Linked DNA regions of Pelodiscus sinensis. The protein of the gene in region 1 interacts with the protein of each later gene in a pairwise test. Links are inferred from orthologs where the notes say so. Each region holds a gene or a part of one and is shown on either strand. Other genes may lie near its edges. The genes, in order: ARRDC1, WWP2, WWP1 and ITCH.

Region 1 (7,489 bases):
GAAATGGCCCTGTGATTTGCAATTGCACTACAAAGAAAGAGCACCTGGATGGGCTCACATAACTGGCCTATGTGTATGTACTTGTCAGGCATGACGGAGTTATTTAGGGACATTTTTACAGCGTTTCTCACTGAGGTCGCTGGTTGCCTCACAAATTCAGCCTCACAGCCTCCCTTGGTAAGGTACAACACTCCTCCGCTTGTAGGTGGAGAAACTGAAGCGCAGAGAAGTGACTGACACAACTGGCCCAAGTCACACAGGAAGAGATGACTAAGGAATGGCACTTAGATCTGATTCAGAAGAAAACTCCTGAGCTTTAGCTATTACACCTTCCCCCTAGCTCCTATACCTGGCATAGCTCAGATCCCTAAAGGCGTGGGGATCTTGGGGGTGCAGGAGTGAGGAGGGACTCTGGGCAGTGGACTGGGTGTGTGGAGAGGAGAGGACCAAAGTCCCCACCCCCTGTCAAGATTTGTACCAGGTCTGCTTGCTCTTCCCCGTCCTGGCCCTGTCAGGAAGTTAGAGCAAAGTACACAGCTTGTCTGCCCCCTGCACTCCCAGCTGGAGTGAGGACTGTGGACTTTCCCCTTGCTCCCTAATGTAGGGGAACAGCCAGCAATGTCCCTGTATGAATCTGGGGGAGAGCTTCAGCCCCCACCTCTCCGAAAGGGCATTTGGGGGTGGAAGGCTCAGAGCTGGGGCAGTCCTATATTGGAGGGGGGTTGCATCCCCAGCCAGCCCCTTTCACGTACTTGGTGATTGTACCTCTTTTCTGTTTGGTTTTCTGAGAAGCAATCCCATTCCAGGCACATCCCACTTTTCTGGCACAACCAAACCCTTACGTTGCTGTAAGTTTGGTAAGAGGAAACTGTATACCAAATTTGGTGGTCCTAGCTCTTATAGTGTAAGAGGATTTCTTGAACAAACAGACAAACACTCTGGGGTAGATAGTAGATATACTAATAATATTTCACACTTATGACTCATCTTTGCACGTGTACATTGGTTTCCTCATCTTATAAGTACAGCTACTCTTTGCTCCCCAGGTAGAAGAAGGTGTGCTTGGGACCAAAAATTGTAAACAGATGTGGTTATTTGTTTTTTTAATCTGGGATTCTGACAAATTACATTTCTCCAGGAAAAATTTCATATTCCTTGGCATGTTTAGTTTTTCAATTAACTTTCCAAATAAAAACTTTGTTTTAGAATTCTTCCTCATATTTTTTTACATTTCTCTTTTTTTCCAGTGGGAAAAAAGCGGGGAGGGAGATGTTTTTAAAAAGAAGAGAAAGTGGGATTTAGACATACACAATCGCATGAAAACATTTCAGAACAATTTTAAAAAACATAATTTTCTGTAGACATTTTTGCCCCCAAAATGAGTAAAAATTCAAATTAAACAGAAAATATGTAATTAAAAACAGTGAACAAAACATCCTTTTGTTCACCAGCTCACTCTGAAAATATTATTCCTCATGCTTCTTTATGTGCTGTTAGATAAGCATTGAGCTTTCAGGGCATTCATGTAGCTGCAGATAAGCAGAGCAGATTTAGATTAAATCTCAAGGGAAAACTTCCTAACTGTAAGACCAGTAGGACAATGGAACAGAGGCCTCACTGGAAGTTTTGAAAGAGGAAACTGGATAGACCACTGTTTTGGGTGGTTTAGACTCATCAAGCCTGTGTCTTGGCACTAGGGGTACGTCTAAATTACATGGCTCCATTGATGGAGCCATGTAGATTTGTTTGTTCGGCAAAGGGAAATGAAGCCACGATTTAAATAATCATGGCTTCATTTAAATTTAAATGGCTGCCCCGCTCTGCCGATCAACTGTTTGTCGGCAGATCGGGGCAGTCTGGACGCTCCCCTGCCGACATGAAAGCCCTTTATCGACCTCCCCGGTAAACCTCATCCTACGAGGCATAACGAGGAGGTCGATAAAGGGCTTTCAGGTCGGTGTGGGAGCATCCAGACTAGCACGCTGAGCCAACAAACAGCTGATCAGCTGTTTGTCGGCTCAGAGTGGCAGCCATTTAAATTTAAATGAAGACGCGATTATTTAAATCGCAGCTTCATTTCCCTTTGCCGATCAGCCTAATCTACATGGCTCCATCGAGGGAGCCATGTAGTTTAGACACACCCTGGATGACTTAGTCCCTTCTACTATGGGCGGTGGGTGAGCGTAAGGTTGGGGGAAGCAAGCTCCCAGCTTCACCCCTTCTGCCCAAAGCCTCCCTGGAATGTGTCCCCAGCCTCCCTGGCCCCGGAGCTGCCCCAGCATCCGCAGTCTCAGCATGGCTGAAGCCCGTGGGCAGCAACACTCCACCCCCAGAATGCCTACTGCTTCAGCATGGCTCCACGTTGGCATTCTGGTGGCCCAGTGTGGGTGAGGCCAAGCCTGGTAGTGTGGGAAGGCAACATCTTCCCATGCCTCTTATACCTGCCGGCCCTGCCATCTCGCCCAATCATTCTATGCTTACTGACTTCCAAGAGTCCTGGTGAAGCTTCATGATTAGCCTTGCTAAAATGCCTTGGATGAAAGCCACTGGGGCTGGGATCCTTAATGGGACAGAGCCCTTTCTCTACTACTAGTGGGACTGTGCCAATGCTACTGCAATGGCAGGCGACTACGCAATGTGCCAGAAGAGCCAAGACTTCCATCCGCAGTGTGAATCCCGCCAGGTTGGTGATAATCAACCCAGCTAGTAGCTGCTAAGTGGGGTTTCAAGGCAATTTGTACTGGGGAGCTGCTCTCATCACAGGAAACCACCAGCATGACTCACAGTTCTTGCCTCCCTCCCATCACAGAGAGACCCAGGACAACAAAATAAAGGCTCATAGCGACTTGGAGCCAGGTAAAAGTCTGAGTTGAGGTTTTGAGCAGCCGGGGGAAGCTTGTACTGCGGCTACCTGTGCTGTACCTGTTCGGTGGATGAACAGAGTTTATTTATTCTTCCAGTGTCCACAATCTGCCAGCAAACACAGCAGGGATGGTGCCACAGGACAGGCAGGGAGGGAGGGAGCATACTTGGGGTATCCTATGCTCCCTCCCTCGGACTGGGGACAGAGCATACTTACAACCTGGCTCCTGCCCACCAGGGGGTGAAGCAGAAGGGTAGACACCTGCAGGGGAGGAACCAGCACCAAAGGAGAGAGGCAGGGCAAGTTTGTAGAGGGAGGTGTTAGGAGAGAGGATGAGGCGGGGTAGCTCACGTGATCAGAGTGGGGCTACTGGAGGAGTGGGCACAAGGGGGAGAGAAGGGCTGGTGGAGGGGGGCAGGTTGCAGGAGCGCTGAGGGCAGTGAGAAGGGCAGTGCCACTGTGGCCCCCAAGTTATTAATAAATATTTTTAAACCTTAACCTTTTCTCTCTGCTGCCATGTCTCCTCCCCTTGTTCCATCAGCTCCCCTGGTGCCTGCTACTTCCCACCCCAACTCCTCACCCTCCTCTGCTGTCATCCAAACAAGCCACATGAACTCAGTACTGGTGCACAACACAAAATTCATTCTGCTCATGGGAGGAAACTCTTAGGCTATTTCTACACTGGCGGCTTCTTGCACAAGAACATCTTGCGTAAGGGTTCTAGTGCAAGATCTCTTGTGCAAGCACGTCTACAGTGCCATGTGCGAGCTGTGCCATTTTAGCCATAGGGGTTTCTTGCGCAAGAAATCCCTGCCAAGCATCCACACTGCCCTCTTGCGCAAGAGAGCTTACACTTGTTAGAAAAGAGCATAGCTCTTGCGCAAGACGCCCTCTCTTACCACGCCGTACTGTAAATTTCCTTGCGCAAGAGCAGGCAGGCAGTGTGGCTGCTCTGTGGGTTCTTGCACAAGAACAGCTGTACTTGTGCAAGAAGCCGCGAGCGTAGACAGAGCCTTAGAGGGAACCCTTCCCCCAGCCTCTCTGCCCCGAGTTAATGTCACACACATTGGGTTAATGCAACTGCAGGATAGTTGCATGCGGGCGGTTTGGTGGGGGCCAATCTAATCCCTGTTGGTAGGCGGATGGTGGGAAAAGCTCTTGGAGAGGAGTGACATGACATCTTTTACTTCTGGTCATGTGTCCATCTTGCCCCCTCTGTGTTACCGCCAGAGGCATGGCTAAAAGGGGGGGGGTCAGAGGCGTGGCTAAGGGGGTGTAAGGGGGCGTGGCTAACAGGGCACGGGGGCGTGGCTAATGGGGCACCACCAAAAATTATACAAGCCCATGCATGGCAGGACCTGGGGCATTTGGCTCAGTGCCTTTGCCCCTAGCCACTGGGGCAGTTGGTTTGGTGCTTGGAAACTGGCTTGGTTCCCGGCTGGGTCCCGATCTCAGCCTGCCGGGCTGGGGTCCCTCCTCCTCCGGCCGCAGCGCGGGGATGGGGGGCGCGGTGGGAGGGACCCCGCGTCTGGGGCCACAGCTGCTAGACCCCCCCCCCCCCCCGCGTACCGCCCCGGGGCAGGGCTGGGCGGGGCGGCGCTGGCTCTTTAAGGGGCTGGGCCGTGGCCGGCTGGCGCGTCACTCGCAGCAGGTAGGAGCCTCCCCCGAGCCAGCCAGCGAGCAGCCGCCGCCGCCCGAGCCCTGCGGGGAGCAGCCGCGGGAGGCCCGGCCATGGGGAAGGTGCAGCTCTTCGAGATCCGCCTGAGCGAGAGCCGGGTCGTCTACAGCCCCGGGGAGCCGCTGGCCGGCAGCGTCACCGTGCGCCTCTCCGGGAGCCTGCAGTACCGCGGTGAGCTTCCCCGCCGCAGTGCCGCCCCCCCCCGTATCCCCGGGCAGCGGGCCCCCTCTGCCCCGAACAGCGTGCTCCTAGGGCTGCGAGCTTCCCCGCCGCAGTGCCGCCCCCCCCCCCCTATCCCCGGGCGGCGGGACCCCTCTGCCCCGAACAGCGTGCTCCTAGGGCTGCGAGCTTCCCTGCCGCAGTGCCGCCCCCCCCCCCCCGTATCCCCGGGCAGCGGGCCCCCTCTGCCCCGAACAGCGTGCTCCTGGAGCTGCGAGCTTCCCCGCCGCAGTGCCGCCCCCCCCCGTATCCCCGGGCAGCGGGACCCCTCTGCCCCGAACAGCGTGCTCCTGGAGCTGCGAGCTTCCCTGCCGCAGTGCCGTGCCTTTCTCCTCGCCCATTGCGTTTTTCCGGGTGCAGGACCCTAAGGCTGCGAGCTTGTCCGCCGCGGTACCTGCGCCCCTTACTTGGCCTCCCGGTACCGGAGCCTCACCGCTCGCAGGCTCCCCTGTTGCCCTCCGGGTCCATCCCTGCACTTAAAGGCTGAGCTCAGTGTGAACAGGTTGGGCCTCTGTAAACTGCTTCCCCTCCGCCCCCACGCCGCTTGACTAGAAGCTGCCTGCCTGGTGACTCGCAAGAGATGGATTTTCAGCGAAGTCTGCTGGGGGGGGGGGGGGGCAGTTTTGGAGGCATCCAGCCCATCCCCTCGCTGGTGGGGCTTTGTGTTGTTTCATCCCACCTCCTGTGGCTAGGACTTGGCCGCCCTCCTCCAGCCTCTCCTCCGTTCTCTTGCCTCCCTTTTCGTCTGGGGGTGGGGACGGAGGAGTTTCCCTTCTGCGTGTGGGGGGTTTTTTGTTTGGTTTTTTAAAAAATCTCTCACGGGCAGCACGAAGAGAACTTGCTCTAAGGGTAGGTGCGTGCTGGGACTCAGGATAGCTTTGGGGTGTTTAAGCATAGCCTGCGTTAGCAACAGTTTACTCACTGTCTGTCTCTCTCTGTTATTTCCCCTCCAGTTCATCTGAAGTGGGTTTTGCTGTTGATTCTGTATATTCTGCTTAGTCTCTAAGGTGCCAGGGGACCACATGTTGTTTCCCTGTGTATGTAATTTAATTTCTCTCCCACCTGGGTTTGGTGTGAGCTGTATCTGGACAAAGCAAAGGTGTGTGCGCATGCTCCCCTTTCAGACTTGGGCTGGAGAGCTGTTGCTAGGACCCTTCTCGATTTCAGGTGTTTCTGGCACGACTCTTAACAGCCTTTACTTGGGGGAAGGCACCTCGGATGCTGTAAACCAGGGGTGGGCAAAATGCAGGTCATGTCCAGCTTGCCAAGTCTTTGGATCCAGCCCGCCTGGACTCTCAGGCAGGCTGTCTGCCCGGTGCCTGTAGGCATGGCATCAGCTGGCCAATGGGAGCTGTGGTGAGCGTGCTGGGGGCAGGGGCCGCGCATTATGTCTCTCCTCCCCCATTCCCATATCCCCTCCTGGATCCTGCACCCCAAGTCACAACTCCCCCTCCTTCACCCAAACTTCCTTTCACACCCCACACTCTCTTCTGCTCCCCAGTCCCCTACCCTGGGCTCCCTTCTACACCCAACCTCTGGCCCAGACCTCACGCTCCCTCCATAGAAAAGTGCAGCTCCTTAATCACTTACCAAAATCTTGATGGAGAGCCACTCCAAGAATTCTTGCTCAGCCCTGCTATAAACCCTAAAACAGACATGTAGTGTTGACCCATCATCTAGCTGTGATCTTACTGGAGACGGACCTTGGCACAAGCAGTTAAGATCTGATTCTGAGCTTCCCCATAAAGTGTAGGGAATTCTTGGGGTTTGGAATGTAGGAAGTCCATGTACTCCAGTACTCCAGGGTCCATGTACTCCAGTACTGTCTCCAATATTGGCTGCAAAAAAATCCTACAGTACACTGAGAGAAACTGTCCTCTGCCCATTTCTCCCTCCTTCTCCTCCCCTCCTCCCACCACTAGACCTCTTCCTTTTAGCTAAGATCGGAAGCATGAAGTTTAATATCTGGGTGCTGGCTTGTTTCCAGTTTGTCCCAGCTTGTCGTAAGTCATAGCTAGCTGGGTTGGAGCACATGTTAATACTTGGTCCTAAGGTGGCATCTCTCTGTGTTTAGAGGCCAAACTATTGTGGAAAATACTTGAACTGTGACCAAGTGTTGAACCCTGTTGTCATTGTAGCATGTGTATGGCAGGAGAGGCTAGGTTGTATGGCTATTTGCTCTGATTTCTGTTGTGTGTTTTAATTGTGACTGATTTATGGGTTTGCTTTAAGAGGTTACTGCATCATCCGCATGGAAGATGCTCAGTCAGAACTGTTGGAAGTGTGTGTGTCTTGCTTTACAGCCAATAGTTCTGTTACAGCCCCATGTAAGGGAGTGGGGAAAGAGGCTGTGTATAGGGACCTTGCAGAGAATAGTCTCCTGCTCTCCCCCCCCCCCCCCAAAAAAAAACCCCAACCTAACTGCTTAGTCAAACATGAGATTAAAGAGATGACAAATTGAGTAGCTTAGAGACAAAGCCCATGGCTGGGTCCAGAGGATCCTCGCTCTTCCACTGCCCGTGCTGTTCAGTCTATGTGGCTTCCAAGTTGCAGTGGCCTCTGAAGACCTCTGTAGAAGCAGCTCCCTTGGTGAAGAGCTCATGCTCCAGTGTGCGGTGAAAGTCCCACTTCAGCATCTTCCCTTGGGACCAGTTGGGCTTTGACTAATAAACGAGAATCAGGCCTGTTGCTGTCTGGAGGCTCCTGATGTGTGACTTGGCCTCATTTCT
Region 2 (7,299 bases), on another chromosome or scaffold:
CTCTTCGATGCTGGGCAGAGGGTTCCTCCAGTACAGGAAGGCCCCGAACTCGGGGCTGTCCTCTGCTGCCCGCGGGCGGCTTGCCGAGGTGGACACGCACGCATCCGCCTCCAGGCGCTGGGACTGGGGGAGAATAAATACAACAAAGTTACTAGACTGCTGGGACATCCCCAGAGCCTGGGGCTGCCGCTGCCTCCTTGGTGCCCAGGCCTGACTGCTTGATCCTAGACAGGCAGTGGGGACAGAGGATTAACGTGCAGAACGATGGGACACTCCCAAGGAGCCGGGAGGCCCTGGAAGAGAAGCGAGAGCATGAAGGGAGGAGGCCAGCACAGGCAACCCTGTAACCGTTCGCAGGGCCAGGTTCTGCGAGCTCCACTCCTGTCCTGACACTGCCTGTGATGAAACACCCCCTGCCTCAGTTTCCCGGGATACAACGCTCTCAGGCAACCTCACCGGAAATGAGCCTTTGTGGGCGTGGAAGGCTCTTTTCCCCCTGCTAGCACCTTCCCCTGGAGGACCCCCAGAGGGTTATCCCGGCGCATGCAAACAGGTACCTTGGATGGCAGGTGGAACCCAGCGATATTCACAGGCGCCTCTGGATGCCGGATGGTGGAGCTCAGCTGAACCTGCGGGGGATTAAGAGCAGCAATGGGGTTAGCAGGCAAAGCAGAACTCCAGACCCGGACCGGCCTGGGCTAGTTCCCAGGCCAGAACACCGGGACGGCCTGGGGCATCTCTCCAGAACCCCTCCAGCCATGGAGCTGAGTTGACTGGACTGGCTTTCCAAACCGAGTGGAAGATGCTGAACAGCTGGCGGATGATTACACTTCAACTCATGGCTAAAACAGGCCCCCCAAGCATGGTTCAGTCCCCAGGATCTCACCCTACATGCTTACTTTGCGGGGGAACTGGTTTCCTAAGCTGGGCCACATCCAGGTGAGGGGAGTGCATGGGGCTTGCGCTGCCTTTATGCCTCCCCGGCTCTGGGGATGGAGCGGTTCCCAGCAGAAATCAAATCCCACAGGGCCACCAGAGTTAGGGCAGCCAGGGAGGCTGCCCAGCAGGTGGCAATGCTGCTCAGAGTCCTTGCAAGGTCACAGCTCTGCCCCTAACATCCTTCCCCCCTCAGCACTATTGCTGAGTGTTGGAGGCAGAGGGGCGTGACCCGCTGGCTGGGAACGCAGCCTTACAGCGGGGTTCTGCAGCACCTGCACTAAAGAATCTGCGCTGGGCCAAACGTGGGGCTTTAGAACCCTTTTATGTTGCAGATTTCACCCATGAGGTGTTCGTAAGAAGTGACAGACCCTACCTTGCAGTCACACACATTTACCTAGTGTATTGACTGACAGCTGTTTACACGCATCACGCAGTATTGTACTTTCTGTGCTGTGCATTTTAGAGAGACTGGATTTATTTTGAGGGGGGAACGGGGCGAGGTGACTACGGCCGTGCAGCTGTACAATTCTTTTAACGCAAGTGTTTCAGAGCTAATGTTTTACCTACATTCTTTATTGCAGCCAGATGCTTCTTTTCAATTATTTGTTTTTCAAATTTCTCGGCTACCCAGAAGTGCTTTTTGGAGACCAGACAAAGGGTCATGTGACATGGCACCAAGTCACAAAAATAGATTCAGCCCAAATTTTACACCAAGAATTGGAATTAAGCTCCTCCCCCCCAGCATTGTACCTCCCCACGAAACGTGTGACCCGCCCATTCATCCACCCAGCACCATGGCAGAAGCCTGGATGCGTCACTCAAGGGAGTTTACCTTTTTTTCTGGTTCTGTCTTCAGATGAGCCACTCCAACGGTCTCTGCCTCCAGCTGGTAGGTCAGGGCTAGCACCTGGAGATCTGTGGCTGACAGGCTGGGGTAGTCGCCTGTCTTTTTTGAGAATTCTGTCACTGTAACAAAGTGAGTGTGTGGTCACAGGGGGGAGTCCTGCCTGAGTCCGACGGTTCGCAGACACACGGCTCTTAGGGAGGCCTCCTAGAAATATATGAATACAGCGGGGGGACTCGGGGTACCTAAATAGGCTGTTCTTTTCTTTGAACACTCCCGTCTATTGAGAATTCTTCCCCAAACCCTCAATTCCTAAGGGCATTTTCTCTTTAAATCTCTTCCTCAGGTCTTTTCTTCTGGTCCATGGCTAGCTGTACGTAAAGGGGGGGGAGGGGTGCTGCTCTCTTAAAGAGCGCAGAATCCAGAGGTAGTGTCACTTTCTCTTGACTAATGACAGTAAGGTTAAGAGGTAGGTTTTAGTAGCAATGGGATAAGCAGATCAAAGATTCATTCCCCAAAAACAGTTTTACTTGAACGCTATCCTCCTCTCCGTGAACTTTCCCCCCAGAAATCACAGCCTTGTCCTATGTCCCAAGAACTAGGAAGCAAACCTGATTAGAAGCCAAAGTAAAAACTATTGCGCTAAGCTAGGGAGCAAATTCATAGCACTAATGGTGAGAGCACGTTTGATACTTACAATCATAGAACCATAGAGCTGGAAGAGACCTCAGAAGGTCATCAAGTCCAGCCCCCTGCTCTAGGCAGGACCAATCCCAACTAAATCAACCCAGCCAGGGCTTTGTCAAGCCGACACAATGGTTTGTTTCTCTCGCAGGAGCAGGAGCTAAATAAAGGAATGGGACTTTCACCTTGACCTGTGCTTCATAGAATCCAGAGTAGACAAACTACAACGAGCACAGCTGTTGTGAGTAAAGCCGTGCGAGTACCGGCCCTGGCAGGAAGGCCACTGGAGTTGGCTGTGGGCAGCTGCCGTAGTGCTCTGCCAGGTGCCCATGAGGCCAGCTCACTTACCTAGTTTAACATACTCAGGGAAGGGCTGTTTGAAGTGAAGCTCATAGGGCAGCACGGCCAGTCGCCTCCTGGTCTCCTTGTCCCGGATTTCACTCACCACCTCCTTAATTGTGTAAACGTTTCTGCCGAAGTCCTGGTGTATGAGAAACACAAGAATTTCTGCTACTGGGAACTAAAAGACAAATGACCAAGACCAGAAAGGACCTGGGGATGCCCAGTTCCGTAGCCAGCCTGGTGTGATCCAAAAGCAGCTCCATACACAACGCCCATCACCGTGGAGCCAGACACTGAGACAAGAGCACTCATAACAACACCCTCCCACCATCCAGCTGGGAAAGGGGCTCCCAGGGCAGACAAAAACCTGGCTTCCCTGCTCTACAGTTATTAGTGGGGTCACTGGATGACTTAGGCAAGATAAGGCCGTTCTGGAGAAGCTAAATGAATTATTTGCATCAGCCTTTGCTGCAGAGAACATGAGGCAGATTCTCACACTTGAGCTATTATTTGTAGGTGATAAGTCAGAGGAATTGTTCCAGATTGACGTGCTGATAGAAAAGAAGTTCTGAGATAAATTCAGCAGTAACTAGGGCCAGATAGTATGAAATATGAACATTTCTCTAAAATATGCAATTACAAAGCTATTTTCTATGGCATGTAACCTACTGCTCAAATCAGCTTCTGGAACAGGTCACTAGAGAACAATTATCATGATGCCCATTTTAAAAGAAGGCGCCACAGGAAATCCCGGCAATCGCTGGTCGCTAACTCTGACTTCCGCACCAGGCGAACTGGTTGAAACTATAATAAAAAAAAAACCAAAATGCTCAGACCCCTCGCGGAACAGGATTTGTTGGGAAGGGCCAGCAGGGCTTTTGCAAAGGGCACTCGGCCCTCAACCCGCCTGAATTACTGAGGAACTATTCAAATTCTTTGATTTTTCAACCAACACGTGGACAAAAGGTGACGGGGGGGGGGGGGAGAGGCCCTTTCCCGGCCAAGGCCCCCCGAAGCAGCTGCCCTGGGAGGAGAGAGAAGGGCCCTTCGCGTGTCGGTTCGTGGGGGGGGGGGGGGGGAGCAGCCACGGGCGAAGAGTCCCTGAGGGCTCGGGCGACTGGCGGGGGGGGGGCAGTCACATGACGCCTGGCAGGTCTGCGGCTGCGCCCCCCCAGCTCCGCCCCTCGCGAGCGACGTGACTCAGGGTCGGGGGGTGCCGCAGCCAGTTGCAGGACCCCCCCTTTCTCCGGGCGCCGCTGGTGAGGGCGGGGGGCCCCCCCCGCCCTGGGGCTGCCCGAGGGCCGGGGCCCGCGGAACTCCCTGCCGCAGGGTCCCCGCCCCCCCCCGCTCTACCTGCAGCGGCGCCCCGCGCAGAAAGGCCCCCGCGTCCGCCACGACGTGCTCCACCGCCGCCATCTTGGCGCACGCACAGCCCGGGGCGAGCTCGCGATGCATTCTGGGAGCGGCAGTATGCGGCGGTCGCGGGGCACGCCGGGAGTTCCCCCTCCCCCCCGTGACGCGCTTCCGGGCCGCGAGTCAGGTGGCGAGCCGGCGTCACGTGATCGCGAATGCCGGAGCCGGAAGTGGAGGCGAAGCCGTCGCCGGTAAATGCAGAGGGGTCGGGGGGGGGCTCGGCATCTCCCCCCCCCCCCGCGTGTGTCCTGGGCCGGGCCCGTAACGCGGCTCGAGGCTCCCCCGGGCCCTGCGCCGCCTCCCCACGGCCCCCCCCCCGCCGAGACCCGGTCCCGGGGCGCCCCCCCCCCCGCCGAGACCCGGTCCCGGCCCCCCCCCCCCCCCCCCGCCGGGCCCCGCGCAGCAGCGGGGCCGCTCCCGGGGGCCTGGGGCCGGAAACGCGTCGGACCCGCGGGCGAGTCCGGGCCGGGCGGGGGGGGGGGTCTCGCCGCTTCCTTAGTCCGCCAAGAGCCTCCGTCCTCTGCTCCCCCGGGCCGCGGGGGGGTCCTGTCCGTGGGCTGGTTCATCCTGGGCTCCGTGGGGCCGGGCCAGTGGGGGATCCGGCATCGTCCCCTTTCCAGCCCGGGGCTGCGTCTAGACCTGTCTGCACGGGCCGCTTGAACCCGGACTCTCGTGTGAGAAATCAGCGCCTCTGGCGGGGATACTGCGCTGCTCCCTTCGGGTACAGTCCTTTAGCAGAAGGGCCCGTGCAGACCGCTCAGAGCAGTCTGTGTCTTTTTAATCTTTCCTTGTGTGGAAACCACGCCGTAGCCTCCAACGTCTGTGTCCCTCCCTGCTAACCGTGTCCACTTCCACTGTGTCCTTTCTGAGCTGGGGTGACTAGAACTGGGTGCAGGATTCAAGGTCTGCGTGGACTGGAGGTTTATATCCTAGTGATCTGTTCACACACACAAAGGGGTGGAGCTTTACAGCTTGTTAGGACAACTCCACCAAGAGAGCAGCTGCGCTTACGGAAGAAATTCCTAGTACTGGAGCTTGGTTGCAAATCCGCTTCCTCCCGCTTGTGAACGTGGTGAGGGGCCCTCTTGTGTCAGGGCCCCAGCGCCTGTGAATTGTTTTGTGATCTGTTCCTCCAAATTGGTGACGTGTGTTACTATTGGAGTCACCCCTTGTGCTTTAGATTCTGTGTAGTAAAGTCACGTGCAGTTTAGATTCATCTTAAAGACCCACACGCTCAGGGCTGGAACCAAAAATCAAAAATCCACCTGGGTGCTTATCCCCTGTTGGATCGAAAACTTTCCGGGTAGCCACAGCTTTTGTGCAGCCCTTAGGAGTGCAAAGACCTTTTATAAGCTCAGAGTCTGAGCTGCCTTCCTGAATCTGCGGCTAGCTCTGTGTAGTTCTCCCTCCCCTGTGGCTGGGGGGGGTGCAGTGGAGCAGCAGATATTCTTGTGTGCACATTGCACCAGCTCAATGGCTATTGGGTTGTGGGGGGAGAGGGCAGAAAGCAGGAGACCATCCCCCCTGGAAGCTGGCCAGTGTTTCAAGGGCATGTGCCACTTCCTTTACTTCATGCCAGAAACTGATCTGAAAGACTCCCTGAGGCACAGCATCCCACAAGTAGCCAGGTGCTATGAGGTGGGTGAGCCTGCATGTTTGCCCCTAGTGGGTGGGGTGGCTGGGCAGTGTTTCCAGCTCTGTGGGCTCGTCTACACTGGCCCCTTTTCCGGAAGGGGCATGTTAATTTCACCTATCGTAGTAGGGAAAGCCGCAGGGGATTTAAATATCCCCCGCGGCATTTAAATAAAAATGTCCGCCGCTTTTTTCTGGCTTTTAAAAAAGCCGGAAAAGAGCGTCTACACTGGCCCCGATCCTCCGGAAAAAGCGCCCTTTTCCGGAGGCTCTTATTCCTACTTCAAAGGAATAAGAGCCTCCGGAAAGGGTGCTTTTTCCGGAGGATCGGGGCCAGTGTAGATGCTCTTTTCTGGCTTTTTTAAAAGCCGGAAAAGCCGGAAAAAAGGGGTGGACATTTTTATTTAAATGCTGCGGGGGATATTTAAATCCCCCGCAGCTTTCCCTACTACTTTCCCTCCTACTACAGGTGAAATTAACATGCCCCTTCTGGAAAAGGGGCCAGTGTAGATGTAGCCTGTGTGTGTAGTGGGCAGGGCAGGGCCTGTGTATTCTGTGGCATTGGGTGCAGGTCCTGTCCCAGGATTTTGCACCAGTCTGGCTCCAGTTTTCTCCCTAGCCCCCTCCCGCTGTGAAAGCAAGGCCGGCTGCTGCCGCCTTGGCAGGACAGTTCATCAGTAGCCTTGAGAAGTGCAAACTGCCCCATTTGTCTCACGGTTCGTTTACATCTACCAATGGTACTTTGACATTTAGCTCCTTGGCGGCAGCAGGAACGTGCACGTTCCAGCATCGCTCATGCGCTCCTGCCTACGTGTTCACTGCCACAAGCCTGGCTGCAAATGCAGTGGGGGCATACAAGCCTTTGGTTATTTCCTCAGCTCCATCAGTCCAGAGCATGCAGGGAAGAGAGGGGTTGGGCAGAGCTGGCTTGCTCCTACGGGGCTAGAGGCCTTCCTGTGTGACTGGGTTAGTCACGCATCAGCTGTTAAAGCAGCCCACAGCCCCTGTCAGTGTAAAGGGGCTTTCTAGCCACAGAAGGATCCTGCAGGGTGGGGGTGGAGCTGTGAGTGTCTGGGGTGGATAGATGCCATGTGCCTGTGGCCTGCTATTGTCACCTGCTGTGTAATTCAAATTAATGGAGGTTGTCTATCTCCTAGAGCTGGAAGGGACCTTGAAAGGTCATCAAGTTGAGTCTAGTCCCCTGGCTTCACAGCAGGACCAAATACCATCCCTGACAAATTTTTGCCCCCAACTGGGCTCCGCAAGGATTGAACTCACAACTCTGGGTTTAGCAGGCCAATGCTCAAACCACTGAGCTATCCCTCCCCCCATGCAGGTCCTCGTCCTCTTCCTCTTCCTCCTCCTTCTCCTAACTGCTGGGAGCAGCTGCTGAGAGCGCCTGGGCCGTGGCATGCAGGCGGCCTGCTAAGGAAGCTGGGAATTCA
Region 3 (7,587 bases), on another chromosome or scaffold:
GCCCAAATAATGGAAGATATATTCTGGCTGTAGTGCTCCATGAAGCACACAGTAGGGAAGTAAAATCTCATTTAATTAGTACACAAATTTCAATTTGGGTTAAACTGGCTAACTGATTAAATGGAGGTAGGAGCCATGGCTAGGCTGGAGCGGATTCCACACCACAGGCAAGGGCTGCTCCAGCCCAGCTGCTTCCAAACCTGCGCTGGGCTTCCATCTCCCAGCTCACCCTGGCTGGGAGTCGGCAGCCACACACATGGCTGGTCGGGGTGGGGGGGAAGATGGCTCCCCCACACAGGCCAGAAGTGGCAGCAGGGTAAGAGGGAAGGTTGCGGCCCTGTGCGAGGCTGCTGATTCCCAGACCACATGAGCTAAGAGCCAGTAGCCTTGCAGGGCGGGAGCAGCCCTCCACTCACAGTGGGCCATAAGCAGGACACTGTCCCTGGGTAACAGTTAAACAATCACATTCCTAGTATGCGGATGGGTCACGAGGTCCATGAGAGCATGAAAGCCATCCAGCAGAAGGAAGGCCTGGGCCAGAGCAGACTCCAGCTCTGCTCCATAAACTCTCTGCATTGAATCAGCATTAACAGACTTTTCTGAATTCATCAACAGACCAAGCTGGTGGCATAGGCAGAGCAGAAGATACACATGCAGGTGGACATTGGACTAGGAGTCCCCCTTGACCAGCCTTATTGCTTATTCCCCCTCACCCCCCACCCCCTGGCTTTGCTGCCTCTGTATCAGAGGCAGGGAGAGGAAGCCAGTGCCCATGAGAAGCTGGATAAGCCTAACCTCCCTCCCCCCTCCCAGCCCCTCTCACTGATGCCTCTGAGAGGCAGCAGCATGAAGGGTGAGGGGGGCAGGTGGGACAAGCTTTCAAGCAGACTCCCCACACATGTCGACTCTATGGACCCCGCTTCCCCCGCACCTTGCTGCCTCCTACAGAAGCCATGCAGAGAAGGCTGGCAGGAGCCAATGCTTGGGGGAGCCAGCTTAAAAGATGGTCTCCCCCCCCCCCCCCAACAATAGCTCCACGGTACTGCCTGTCCCCAAGAGGCAGCAGAGCTAGGGAGGGCAGGGGAAGCTGCTCCATGCCAGCAGTCCCCATCTGCAAGGGGTCCGAGCTCCCCACAGACAGAGGTGGCTTCAGCATCCCACAGAGCAGCCTATGTCCATGGCAGCAAACCTTGGCTGTGGGCATACCAAGCTCTCTGTGGATAGGGGCTGCTGCCCCGGAGCAACCTCTGTCCATGGGGAGCTTGGACCCCCCCTTGGACAGGGGCTGCTGCCACCCCATGCTGCTGCTCCTGTAGCAGAGGCAGCAGCACAGAGTGGCAGGCAGAAGCCAGCTTTAACAAAACCAACTCCACCTGCCACCCCATGCTGGTGTCCTTGAGAGAAAGGCAGCAATGTAAGATGGCAGGGGTCTCCCCAGGAGTGGAGCCTGGAACACACTGGCTGCTGCCCTCCTCCCCACTACAGAGACTATCAAATAGCTGTGTAACTGATAAAATCCACTTGATTACAAAACTATTCAATTACACAATAACATTCCTAGTGCACTTCAGAAATCACAGAAATTCTCTATGAGCCCCTAAAAAATGGCAACATGGAAGTAAGCATCCTTGAGACCGAGGGCAGTGTGCCAATGTCTGGGATCCAGGGAAGAAATAATGGAGGCCAGGGAGATCATGCAGAACTTAAGCCTCACCAGGTAACAGTTCAGATCATGCAGATCCAGAATGGGTTGAAGTGCCCCTTCATCCTGTAGCCTCGGGGATGAGCAAGTAGAGGAAATAAAATCCCTGGTTATTGTAGCACTTTGGAACCTCCTACACTGACCCTCATCTGAACAAGTCCTTCAACTTCTTGCAGAAGGAGCCGCTCATGAGAAGAGTCCTTGAAGAGGGACAGGGAGAGGAGCGGGAAAGGGGGATAGACAAGAGCTGGAGGATACAACGCTGCCACGTTACACTGAGGACCCACCAGTCTGAAGTGACAAAGCACCAGGCTGGAAAGAAAGGATGGAGATGGTATGAGAATGTTACAAGACGAAGGATGTGGCAATATCAGAGGTACGTCGTCCTTGAAGGTACCCTCAAAATAGGTGCTAGAAGTGGGCCTGGGAATGGGAGAAGCCAGGAGCCAGGATGTGTGGAAGAGTGAAACAGACTCTCTCTTCCCTAGCAAATGTGCCCCCCCCCTTTTTTTTTGAGTCCTCTCAAGGTTGGAAAGACGGAGATACTAGGATTTGAGGATGGAACTTCTTATGAGCCAGGCCCAGAACTTACAGGCTGAGGGTGTGGAAGGTCATGAAAGAGTCTTTTAGTCCATGGAGCTTAGAATCTCCTTCTCACAGGGCCACCCCATTTAATTAGGGGAGATTGCCTATCTCCTAGAACTGGAAGGGACCTTGAAAGGTCATCAAGTCCAGTCCCCTGCCTTTGCAGCAGGACCAAGTACCATCTCTGACAAATTTTTGCCCCAAATGACCTCTGCAAGGATTGAACTTATAACCCTGGGTTTAGCAGGCCAATGCTTAAACCACTGAGCTATCCCTCCCCCCATTGAAGCGGAGAACCTTCACTGACTGCTTTGCCTCAGGAGAGAGTCTGGAGAGAAGCAACCATGATTCTCTCCACATGGAAATAGCCAGCGCCATCAAGCCCCAGACCCCTGCTCAAGAACCATTATTCTAGAGTACCTCTTTTTCTGGTAGGAAGGAGCTTCCTCTTCCATATCTCTCAAGGTTATTTGGTGGGGTGTCCACTCCTTTTGCTCCTTAGTAAATACCACCTCTTTTTATAGCAGCCTTAATAGTCATGATAATTTATTTTAAAAAAATATATACATCTACAATCACACACAAAAAATGTTTTGAGACGGAGGAAGGAGGTGGCTTTCAAAATGTGACCTGCATGTAACTAGTGCAGTGTTGCCTTTTAGAGAGTCTGAAAACAGCCCAAAATAAAGACTAGTCCACACTTACCATTAGATAGGCATTGCAGCAACTGATGCAGCAAGAGTCAATTTATCTGGTCGGGTGAAGAGCACTCTCCCATCAATTTGTATACTCCACTGTCCTGAGAAGCATAAGTGAAGTCTGAGGGAGAAGTTCTCCCATTGGCACAGCAGAGTGAAGACACCGCAGTAAGAAGATCTAAGTACATCAACTTCAACTATTATATTCATGTAGCTGTAGTTGTGTAATCCAGTCCCCTCCTCCCCTTAGTGTACACAAAGCCTGAGGCAGTATCTACACTACAGTTGTATTGCAAGAGTGGAGATCGATTCACTGGCAGTCAGTTTAGTGGGTATAGTGAAGACCCATCAAATTGACCACAGATCGCTCTTCAGTCAACCCCTATATGCTATCCCTGATGAGAAGCGTAAGGTAAGTCAACAGGAGAATGTTTTCCATCAACCCCATTCAAGATAGACGCCGCAGTATCTTGACCTAAGGTACATTGACTCCAGCTACATTATTGACTTAGCTGGGATTAGTGTAGATCTAGTCTGAAATGTGAACTCCCCTGCTGCCATTTGTTACACACACAAGAGTTAATGCCAGTGGGCAATACTCACTTTAATAGTCAATATTAACTATTTCACTGCTGATCAGCTGAACAGATAAGAGGGGAAATGAGGTGGAGAAGGGTGATGAAGACAGAAAAAAACCCAAGGAACAGTGGTGATCCTCAAGAAGAGTATTTAAAAAAAACAATCCTTCTTACTGAATATTACAATTTTAAAAATAAAAGTAAAAGTTTATTTACTACACTGGGCCATATTCCACAATGATTCTTTGTGAAAATCGCCCACTGCCATCTGTGGGAATTTGACTGTGGAGTAAGGATAATATATAGTCATAAATTTATATTCTGAGCCACTATCATAATTAAACATGGAATTCAGTCTTTGGTATAGAATTAATTTGGCAGTTCTTGTTTATGGCTTTCACAAAATGCAGCAGAGTAAAAAAATAACAGGATTCTTGTTAATTTAATTGTTGCTATTTAGAACACTGTGACCAGTAATGAAACAAGTGAAACTGACCATTACTTTCATTCCGTTGTTTAGAAAAGATATGAACAGCAGCCACAGCACTGGTGCTGCCTGTAAACTCAGGAAGACTGCACTGCATCAACTGCAAACATAAGAGCTTGAAATCTAATTTTTATTAATGAAAAGGTTAAAACTTGCAAAAGCTACTGAGCATCACACACAACCCAGAAAATTTTGAATTTAGCACTGGCAATAGTATTTTACAAACCTGTCTCAACTATCCAGTGAAAATTTCTTACGAATTTCTGAAAGTGTCATTAATTAAAAAGTGGAGTGGTTAACAGTACCATGAGTAACATGACTGATCCCTCTGGAAAGAGAAGACTTTGAATAGGCATGCAAAAAATTACACACACACAGTAAGTACAGTTGGGTTTTAAAAAGAGATTTAACTTATAATTTACATACTTTAAGGTAATATTACTAAAAAAACTATAACAGTATTCTTACTAACAAAGTTCATATTTTGGTGCAACCATGTGGTATACTTGCTTGCCAAGTTGGCCAAGTAAAGTACTGAAATTACAACTAAGCATTTTTTTTAAAAAGTTATTTACTCCCCCCATTGGCTTCATTTTCTGCATCCTAGTTTTAAAGTGGCTATCTTAAAGCAGCACTCAACACCTAGTTTTGGTTCTAAATGTATATCAATTTTTGTTTTGTGAAGCCTGTTTAATGTGTTAATTTCTAAATATTAAAACAATTTTATGTCAAGCTTTATCCTCTTTTCTCAAAGTCGTCAATGAGTGAGGAAGACTCATCCCCTAGATCCCTGTTTTAATCACAGTACAAAACTGAAAACATTAGAAGGATCTCTCAGGCTCCACTATTTCCTTTTCAGGAGAGAGGGAAGAAGGTGATTAGGATGGCAGGGTATTCCAACTCAGCATTCATGCACCGAATTCTGAGACAGGTTTTTTTCTTTTTTCAGTGTTTTTCAAAGAGTCAGGCGAGCAATTAAGGACAAGACTAGTAGAGAACAACGAAACAACTATGTCTCCATGAGTCCTTCCATGATCTGAGAAAAAGTGGATCACCTCTATCTTGGATCCTTCCACGGTGCCCTTGTAGCACAGGCAAAACAGAGTTCAAGTTTGGTCTCAAATAGGTGTGCAAATCTGCTAACATTTTATTTGTTTCATTAATGTATTTTTAATGTAAGACTTTAAAAACTACAGGCAGTCCCCGGGTTACGTACAAGATAGGGACTGTAGGTTTGTTCTTAAGTTGAATTTGTATGTAAGTCGGAACTGGTACATATTGTAGGGGAAAACTCTAGCCAAACATTTCTCCAGAACTCAGTTTTATTCTCCCACACCTCACTTCCCTCAGTCCTTTATTCTCAAGCTGACGTGTCTGCTAAGAAAAGCCGCTCTGCGTCTCCCTGGTCTGCTGGGGTGGGGTGCTAGCTTCGCATCTCCCTGGTCTGCTGGGGGGAAGTAGCTAGTGTGGGGTTGCCTCACCCCGTTTGTAAGTAGGGATCCGATGTAAGTCGGATCCATGTAACCCGGGGATTGCATTTGCTACCCCAACATATCCTTTAAGCTTCAAAGAAACAAACTGAAGCCCACAATTGGTAAGTTACTCCAAGAAGGCACACTCTACATCAGTGGTGGGCAACCTGTGACCTGAGGGCCATATGAGGCCCATTAGGGTTCTGTATGTTGCTGGCAAGACATTGCATTTACTGTTGCTCATGCACAGAGTTGTCAAATTCTGCTGGTTTCTTTTGGTGTCTTTTTCCCCCCTATCAGTATTACTAAAGTGATACACATGTAAAACAAAGGCATGTGAAGTGAGGAGCAAGTTGATTGAACATAACATTGACTGTGAAAGCAGTGCGCTTCTTCTGCATCCAATCAAAGCACTCTTACGTTTCTGTTGACGCATCCTGCAAATTCTAGGTACACAAGTGCAGTTAGCAAAACTACCGTATACTGAGAGACTATCTTTGTCACAAAAATTTCGCAGCCCACTGAGATGGACAGCCACTCATGTGGCCCACTCACTAGCCTGTGATGCCTAGCGCTGCCCTAGATGTTGCAAATTCGTACCTATATGAATAGCTTCACATATATGCATTATGATCACATGTATAACTATGTAACACTAAAAACATTACTGGCCATAAGCACTACTCCACAAAGCACATTGTATCCAGGAGTGTTTGCAGAATCAGTCCATTATAAAGAAGTCTAACCTATTGTACACACCACCACATGGGGAAGAGAGGTAATGGCATAAGAGTGCTAAAAAAAAAATCAACTGGTCTTACAAGTAATAGGAGTTTCATGTATTTTGGCCTCTCATTTCACTCATGTCTTAGGGCCGAGTCTAAGTAAGCTACTGCCACCTCCTCCCCAAAAATAAAGAAAAGACCATGAACAGTTTTCATTTTGGTCAAGCCTTTACAGCTCATTAGACCATAAGTTAGGAAAACACTGAAATACATTAACTGAGTTCAAATGTAGTAGATTAACATTAGTTTATCAAATCCCATTTAATAAAAACCTCAATGAATTTGTGAAAGATTATAAGACATCATCAATAATCAATTTATTCTTTCCCCAACAAAACTGTTTAGTAGCACAAGCAAAATATAAATGCTGCACTATTTTTATTGGAAGTGCTATCCATCCATTCATTCATATGTTAAATATACTAAATATGTGACAGCATAATCTAGTGAGCCAATTTCTGCATAATTGTATAACCTGGATAGCTACCCAAGAATACCATTCTGATGATTTCCTATATGAATAGGAGATCATCACGGTATTTTTGAAAATGACTTTGTCAGATTTGAACATTCTGTTACAAATTCATGTACTAATTTTTGTTCATATATTTTGACAGATTGTTTTAACTAAATCTTGTTTAAAGGGACGTACAGCAAAATGCATGCCTTTAATGTAGTTCCATTTAGACACCTATTTTGTTATTAAAATAAGGATCAGTAAATAGAAAGAAGTCACTACAGTAAATGGAACACACACTATGCTGTTGTAGCTCACGATAGCATTTATAACAACAGCAAATAACTTCTGCATATTCTGTTAAACCACTGACATTTTAAAATACAAATATCAACCACTGAAGGAGTCAGACGTTACACAGCACCAGAAAGATTTGCAGGCACTTCTAAGCTGGGCAGTAACAGCATTAATTGTCCCTCCAGCCCCACAACGAGCTGCAGCAAAGCAGCCCAGTACCTCCCCTGCCCATAGAAGGAGGGTGGGGAAGGCAGGCGGCAGGGTCACGTCTATCGCGGGGGAGGCTTGGGGTATCCCTGGACCCCTGCCCGGTTGCGCGGAGGGATGTTGCATTTCTGTTACCTAACTCCCTCTCCTCTTTCACCGCTCTAGGTAAAGCGACAAGGGCCGCCTCTGGGACTGCCCTGCTGCTTCCCTGCGACTCAAGCGCTTCCCACAAGCTCGGCACGGACACGGGTCAGGGCTCAGCCCCATCCACCCCCTTGGCCAGGCCAGGAACGGCACAAACAAGGTTACCCGCCTGACA
Region 4 (7,367 bases), on another chromosome or scaffold:
AGAAGTAGAGGGGCACTAGGACAAACATGGACAGGAACAGAAAGGCCTATAGACATTTTAGAGCAGCTAAAACTGAACTCAGGATTTCTATGCCTCACTATTCTTGTACTCTGTGGCAAATAGCTGTGATGCTCATTGGCAAAGGGTATCATCCTGCTCTAGTGGCTGACCACATATAGGATAACAACCTACTACTGCTATCAGCTATTCCATTGGTTCAAATGGCCAAGGTCTGTACTGTGAATCTAAAGATCCCAACATTGCTGGTGACTATGAAGTTCAATTAAGTTCTACATCGTGAATTTTGTGTGGTTTTTTTTTTTTTTAGTTTGCTTATATAAACATTCGGAAACTTACATTTAAAAATGTTAAAAGAACATTATGGTTGCAAATATAAGCACTCAACACGAACATGCCAAAATTAAGGTTACCCTGTCAACCCTAATATGGCTTCCTTGTGATTCATTCATAACTAACTAGATTTTAAAAGCTGGAAGGGACCATTAGATCATCTAGGACTAGGCTGACTTCTTGTATAACATAGACCATAGAATTTCCCCATTTATCTCTATACTGAGGACAATAACTTATTTGACTAAAGCACATTGTGCATGATGTACATTACAAGGACCATGTTGTGGATTATAATAGACTTTAATTACCCAGCCATACACTATTAGACTGGATTGGGCTCTGAGAGTGAATCGGTGTTGTGCAGGGGGCCGGGGGAACAGTAATATCAAAAGGATGATTGCATGATGAAGGCAATTAAATGCCACCCTCAAGAACTATCATAGAGTTCCTATGTGTGGCTAGGGAAATCACTTAAACCAGAATCTGCACCAGTGGTCTCTAATTGTGTGTGTGTCGTTTTCTGGATGCCTGCGTTGAGACATCTGGGGCATCTAACATTAGGGGGACACATTTGCCCTTATTCTCTGTGCCTCATCGGTAAATGGTGATACTAATGCCACCACAGCCCATGAAGACAAATTCATTGGGGTGTGTGGTACTCAGATATTATAATGAGAACTGTACAGAAACACTCTCTGTCCTCTGGGCAGGGTTTGGATGTGGTGCAGTAAATAAGGTAGCTGTGCAATATTTCCTTTTATCCAGTAGATGCACACTGAATAATGAGGATAACAGGAAATACCAAATAGCTGCCCATTCACTGTGCACCAACCTTTTCACTGAATTAAGCAGGGGTCCCCTGGGAATGCTAGCATCTGATCAGCTAATTAAAGAATGTATTATTATGCCTACACACAAAGAAGCCACACTAGTGTAGCACAAGCACCTTAATTCAGGCATTTCCTAACTTTTAAGTGTTTGACTTTGCAATCTTAAAGGTCTTTTAATATAATGCTTTTGCATGTAATGTATTATGTGCAGACAACACTGGGCTCACAAAAGTATTTGTGTGTAACAGTTCATATTTCCAACATCCTCCATATGTTGCTTATCTTCTTAAAATTAACATTTCTGGCAGGAAGAAGCCTGTGAGAGTTTGTCCAGCATCCTCACAATGGGGCTCTTTTGGGGTTTCAATAAATATAAATGGACACAATGATCTTTTGGGTTTTTCAGTGTAAATAAGTAACACAGTAGTGCTCAAGTGCCATACAAAATAGTTACTCCTGTTTCTTTTGCTCACATTGATTCTCCTGGAAATGATAATCTCTCATATCACTTGAAGTCTTTGTTAGTACTATTACTGGATGTGAGTGGGAAACCATGCATCTGTCCCCACTAATGACATCTGTATCCTCAGTAGCCGAACAGGATTTCAAATGAGTGTTCCCAAATACCTTCCTTGTAGGACAGCATTATTCCATCTTCATGAACAAGCTGAGGCTTTGTCTACGCTTGAAAGTTTAAAGCACAGCCTTGGCAGTGTGGCCACTTCAGGAGTGCTGGGCAAAAGCTCTCCCAGTGCTCCAGTTCATTTTTCCTCAAAGTGCTTTAAGAAGAAAAAATGAAGCACTCTGGACCCTACCCCGCCACTGCCCCACCCTCTGACTGCCAGGCTTCCCCTGCCTTGCCCCTCCACCAAGCATCCTCTGGCTGCCAGACACCCACCTCCCCCTGCCACTACCCCGCCCAGTGCCCTCTGGCTGCCAGACACCCGCCCCCCCCTGCCACTACCCCGCCCAGTGCCCTCTGGCTGCCAGACACCCACCTCCCCCTGCCACTACCCTGCCCAGTGCCCTCTGGCTGCCAGACACCCGCCCCCCCCCGCCACTACCCCGCCCAGTGCCCTCTGGCTGCCAGACACCCACCTCCCCCTGCCACTACCCCGCCCAGTGCCCTCTGGCTGCCAGACACCCGCCTCCCCCTGCCACTACCCCGCCTAGTGCCCTCTGGCTGCCAGACCTACTTGGTACAGCCCCATCCAACCAGCCCCCTTTTGCCAGACCCCAGTTTTTCTCTAAGGCTGTGTCTACATTGGCAAGATTTTGCACAAAATCTTCCCGCCTGTCTACACTGGCTGCAAGTGTTTGCACAAGAACACTGATGTTGTAATGTACAAAATCAGTGCTTCTTGCGCAAATACTCTGACGCTTCCGCTCAGGGATAAGCCCTTTTGCGCAAGTATTCTTGCGCAAGAGGCCAGTGTAGACAGGCAACGTTAATTTCTTGGGCAAGAAAGCCCGAAGGCTAAAATGGCCATTGGAGCTTTCTTGCGCAAGAGAGCGTCTACACTGGTTTTGCGCAAAAGCACATCTCTTGAGCAAAAGCACATGCCAGTGTAGACGCTCTCTTGCGCAAATACTTTTAACGGAAAAACTCTTCCGTTAAAAGTATTTGCTCAAAATCTTGCCAGTGTAGACGTAGCCAAAGTGCTTTAAGATCATATAATCATAGAACACTAGAACTGGAAGAGACCTCAGGAGGTCATCAATGTGTAAAAGTGCAATGTATTACAGCAGAACCTTGATTTTATGAAGATTTATGTTATAAACAAACAATTATACAAACCATTTTTCCCTGTGAGGGAAAAAAGTCACATAATAAAAGTGAAGTTGATGAAGAAAAAGTCCACAACCTTTCATGTTCTGATGCCATCAGTGCATTGGAATTGCTTGGCAGCGGTCTGAAGGGCATGAAAAAGCAATACTTATGCACAGTACCTACTGTAATTTTGAGATGTGCAGTTTTATGAACTGTTGAACTTTATGAATTCCTTAATCTTCATTAGTTCATAAAAATGCGTCCTAATATACTATTAATGAACAGTCTTGCTGGTGCTTCAGTAGAAGCCCAGGATTGACCAGACTACGGAGACTGAACTATCCTCTCACTCTTAGCTGGTACAGTGGTATAGCAGGCAATGGTTGGAAAGTATGCTTTGTTTCCTCCTTCCATGACAGATCTGTGGATGAAAAGGATTTCAGTGCTGTAAGTGCATTTATACCTAAAGAGGTACACAGATCCATGCAACGCAGAAATCTCTTTTTGAAACTGTACCAGTGTTTATGTTTCTATCTAAGGTGCTTAGTGCTGCTAAATTTTTTATACTGGAGCTGGTTGCAGCAGCCATGTTCCTTTGGGATTTGCCATTCTGATGATGGATTAGGCCTTTAGAGATTAAAAGTGAAACCCTCCACTGCCACTTTTCAAAGAATAACCATATTATACCTTCTCTGTATGAAATAAATTCAAAGCACATCTGAACCCGCACAGAGCACCCCTCTATGGGGAGACTCCACTGCTAGCACAGAGCACCTCCATAATCCCGGTCTGGATGGGTGCCACATTACCTGCACAGAACCCCCTCCAAATTCCTGTCGGGGAGGTGGCCCCTACTCCCAGAGTTGCCCCCAAGGTCTCTGTGAGCAGAGGCTCTCCATAATCCTTGTCTAGGTGAGTTCCCCCTGCCTGCACAAAGTTCTCCCCCAGGATCCCTATGGGGAAGCTCACACAGAGTCCAACAGTCCCTTTCTGTGGGACCCCCACTGCTCACAGAGCCCGCCCCCCCCAGATCCGTCCGGGAACCCACCCCGCGGTTCAGTCTGGTGGTGGCACCTGTAGCCCACTGGGGCTTGCCCTGCAGACCCTTCCCGGCCGCTAGGGGCGGAGCGCGGGGAGCAGCTGACTCGCTCCAGCTCTGGAGGGGGAGGGGCGGGACTGGGGGGAGCAGCAGGGAAGCGCGGGGCTCGGGGCCACTCACGCGGCCAGTCTCCATTCCTGGTGGCCCACCCTCAGCCCCTTCCCCTGCGGGAGCCGCGCCAGCGCCCAGTCCACCGGCTTCCCTCGACCCATCAGCTGACAGTCCGACCCCAGTCCGCCCAGGTAGTGCGCGTGCGTACTCCCAGCGGGGCATTCTGGGAGTTGTAGTTTTCACCCTCCACGCCCTCCGCCATCGCTGACTCTGCGCATGCGTCGTGGCCGTCCGACTTTGGAAAGTCGCTGCCTGAGGTTGGGCTCGGACTGGCTGCCATCTTGGCGGAGGGCTTGAGGCGCTGGCCCCGCCGCCCCGGCCGGTAAGGAGTCCGCCGCGGAGAAGCGGCTGCGCCCGCCCGCTCGCCTCTCGAAGCGCTGCCGCGACTCCGCCGGGGGGGGCTGGGGGAGCCGCTCCCGCCCCGGGGCTCGCAGCGAGCGGGGCGGGGGCGTTTCGGTCCCGGCCCCTGGGGCCCCTGCCCCGCCCCCCGTGGGACCCCCCCCACAGCCCCGCCCAGCGCTGCCAGCCCCCCCCCCGGCACTGCCCCGCCCCGCGCCCCCCCCCCCCCCGGCACTGCCCCGCCCCGCGCCTCCGGCTGCCAGACCCCCCCCCGGCACTGCCCCGCGCCTCCGGCTGCCAGACCCCCCCCCGGCACTGCCCCGCCCCGCCCAGACCCCCCCCCCCGGCACTGCCCCGCCCCGCCCAGACCCCCCCCCCGGCACTGCCCCGCGCCTCCGGCTGCCAGACCCCCCCCCGGCACTGCCCCGTCCCGCCCAGAGCCTCCCCCCCGGCACTGCCCCGCCCCGCCCAGACCCCCCCCCCCCGGCACTGCCCCGCGCCTCCGGCTGCCAGACCCCCCCCGGCACTGCCCCGCCCCGCCCAGAGCCTCCCCCCCGGCACTGCCCCGCGCCGCCCAGAGCCTCCCCCCCGGCACTGCCCCGCGCCTCCGGCTGCCAGACCCCCCCCCCCCGGCACTGCCCCGCCCCGCCCAGAGCCTCCCCCCGGCACTGCCCCGCCCAGAGCCTCCGGCTGCCAGACCCCCCCCCGGCACTGCCCCGCCCAGAGCCTCCCCCCGGCACTGCCCCGCCCCGCCCAGACCCCCCCCCCCCCGGCACTGCCCCGCGCCTCCGGCTGCCAGACCCCCCCCCGGCACTGCCCCGCCCAGAGCCTCCCCCCCGGCACTGCCCCGCCCAGAGCCTCCCCCCCGGCACTGCCCCGCCCAGCGCCTCCGGCTGCCAGACCCCCCCCCGGCACTGCCCCGCCCCGCCCAGACCCCCCCCCCCGGCACTGCCCCGCGCCTCCGGCTGCCAGACCCCCCCCGGCACTGCCCCGCCCCGCCCAGACCCCCCCCCCCGGCACTGCCCCGCCCAGCGCCTCCGGCTGCCAGACCCCCCCCCCCGTCACTGCCCCGCCCAGACCCTCCCCCCCAGCCACTGCCCTGCCCAGCGCCCCCCCCCCCGCCTCCCGTGGGACCCCCGCTCACTGCCCCGCCCAGCGCCTCCGGCTGCCAGACCCCCCCCCCCGCCACTGCCTCGCCCAGACCCTCCCCCCCCCCCGCCACTGCCCTGCCTCCCGTGGGACCCCGCCCAGTGCCTCCGGCTGCCAGACCCCTCTCCCCCCTGCCCCTGCCATGCCCAGTGCCTCCAGCTACCAGACTCCCCCCCAGCCACTGCCCCGCCCAGCAGCTGCCAGACTCTCCCTACTTCCCTGCCCAGTGCCTCTGGATGCCAGACACCCCCCACCACGACTGCCCCGCCCAGTGCCCTCTGTCTGCCAGCTTCTTCCCCTTGCCACTGCCCCACCCTCTGACTGCCAGGCCTCCCCTGCCTTGCCCTTCTGCCAAGCATCCTCTGGCTGCCCCCCCCCCTCCCCCCGGTCACTGCCCCACCCAGTGCTCTTTGGCTTCCAGACCTCCCTGCTACTGCCCCATTCAGCCAGCCCCCTTTGGCCAGACCCTGGTGATCTAATCTCTAGCCAGACCCTACAGCTGACCAGCACACTTTGGCAACCAGATCCAGTGCTCTGACTACAGTCTTCTCACTGTCCAGTCAATCACCAGCCCATTCTGGTTGATAGACTTCATTGACCTGGTTTGTAGCTACTGCGCTCACCCTGAGTTGGGGGTATTCATTAGCGGCTGTCTGATTCTGGATGATTTGCCAGCCCTGGGGTGGTTTGCTGTCTCTTGCTAGGTTCCTCTATCTTGCATGATGCCTGTTTTATTCATACACTCTGCCCCCCAAAATCACCACCAGGTGTTTGGCTTGTGTGAGTTGATAACTCATTCCCCCCAATTTATTCCTCTCAATCCAATAATTGTCTAGCTCAGCCCCTTTCCCAGACTTTGAAATGAACCTCCTTTGACTACTAGTGTCTTCACTCTGTCCTGACGAATCTTGCTGCAGCCATCTCACTAGTGTTTACTTGCTTTGTCCTATAAATAATGCAGTGTCCTAAAATGATGGCCCAGAACACTAAAGCATAAGTGTTTGTAACTGCAATGTGAATGGTTGTTTTGGTACACTATGTATAATCTTTAGTAAATAAAGTCACTCTAGAATGGCAACGTTGGGCCCCTCACTTCTAGTTTTGGAAACATCGATAGGCCTTAGTTATTGATCCTCTAGTATCTAAATGTGTAGGACTGACATTGCGAGACAATAAAATCCAAATTGTAGGTAGAGGAAGATTACAATGATGTGCGAGTTATTTAACTGGGTCTGAAATTTTGGGCCACACCTCTTTCAAGATTTACCTTGTTTTGATAGCTATAATTTATAACAACAGGGAAGGCAGCTCCAGATTTTTGAGAGGCAGCAGTAGAATAGATGTACAGTAAAACTCCATTGGTCTGGCATCTGATGGTCCGGCACCATCAGGAACCCGGAAGTGCTCCAGGCAGCCGGACCATTGGAGCTGCTCTGCCCCCGGCTTCCCCGATTCAGCTGCTGCTGAAACTGACCAGCGGCTGAATTGGAGAAGCCGGGGGCAGAGCAGCTGGAGTGCTGCTGGTAGGTCCCATAGCGCTGCCCCTCGGTGCTGCGGGACCAACCTGGCAGCACCCCAGCTGTCCCCCATTCAGCCACTGCTGAAACTGACCAGCGGGCTGGTCAGTTTCAGCAGCGGCTGACTTGGGGACGCTGGGGGCAGAGCAGCTGGGGTGTTGCTGGGTTGGTTCGGTAGCGTCCTCAGTGCTACTGGA

Evidence for each region.
Region 2: the proteins of ARRDC1 (region 1) and WWP2 interact in binary tests that used the Homo sapiens proteins (3 or more experiments, as listed by UniProt). The link is inferred for Pelodiscus sinensis from reciprocal best matches to the Homo sapiens genes ARRDC1 and WWP2.
Region 3: the proteins of ARRDC1 (region 1) and WWP1 interact in binary tests that used the Homo sapiens proteins (3 or more experiments, as listed by UniProt). The link is inferred for Pelodiscus sinensis from reciprocal best matches to the Homo sapiens genes ARRDC1 and WWP1.
Region 4: the proteins of ARRDC1 (region 1) and ITCH interact in binary tests that used the Homo sapiens proteins (3 or more experiments, as listed by UniProt). The link is inferred for Pelodiscus sinensis from reciprocal best matches to the Homo sapiens genes ARRDC1 and ITCH.

The regions. Positions count from the first base shown.
Region 1 is NC_134732.1:3,461,108-3,468,596, forward strand, and holds the start of ARRDC1 (arrestin domain-containing protein 1), read left to right. Parts: upstream 1-4,475; 5' UTR 4,476-4,594; coding exon 4,595-4,712; intron 4,713-7,489. UniProt on the Homo sapiens protein: Functions as an adapter recruiting ubiquitin-protein ligases to their specific substrates. Through an ubiquitination-dependent mechanism plays for instance a role in the incorporation of SLC11A2 into extracellular vesicles.
Region 2 is NC_134722.1:1,626,622-1,633,920, reverse strand, and holds the start of WWP2 (NEDD4-like E3 ubiquitin-protein ligase WWP2), read left to right. Parts: upstream 1-4,285; 5' UTR 4,286-4,377; coding exon 4,378-4,413; intron 4,414-7,299. Other genes in the region: RNA-binding protein NOB1, read right to left, coding at 1-123, 558-629, 1,772-1,905, 2,816-2,948, 4,163-4,264. UniProt on the Homo sapiens protein: E3 ubiquitin-protein ligase which accepts ubiquitin from an E2 ubiquitin-conjugating enzyme in the form of a thioester and then directly transfers the ubiquitin to targeted substrates.
Region 3 is NC_134712.1:45,701,739-45,709,325, forward strand, and holds the start of WWP1 (NEDD4-like E3 ubiquitin-protein ligase WWP1), read right to left. Parts: upstream 3,015-7,587; 5' UTR 2,996-3,014; coding exon 2,993-2,995; intron 1-2,992. UniProt on the Homo sapiens protein: E3 ubiquitin-protein ligase which accepts ubiquitin from an E2 ubiquitin-conjugating enzyme in the form of a thioester and then directly transfers the ubiquitin to targeted substrates.
Region 4 is NC_134728.1:35,531,950-35,539,316, forward strand, and holds the start of ITCH (E3 ubiquitin-protein ligase Itchy homolog), read left to right. Parts: upstream 1-4,358; 5' UTR 4,359-4,487; intron 4,488-7,367. UniProt on the Homo sapiens protein: Acts as an Acts as an E3 ubiquitin-protein ligase which accepts ubiquitin from an E2 ubiquitin-conjugating enzyme in the form of a thioester and then directly transfers the ubiquitin to targeted substrates.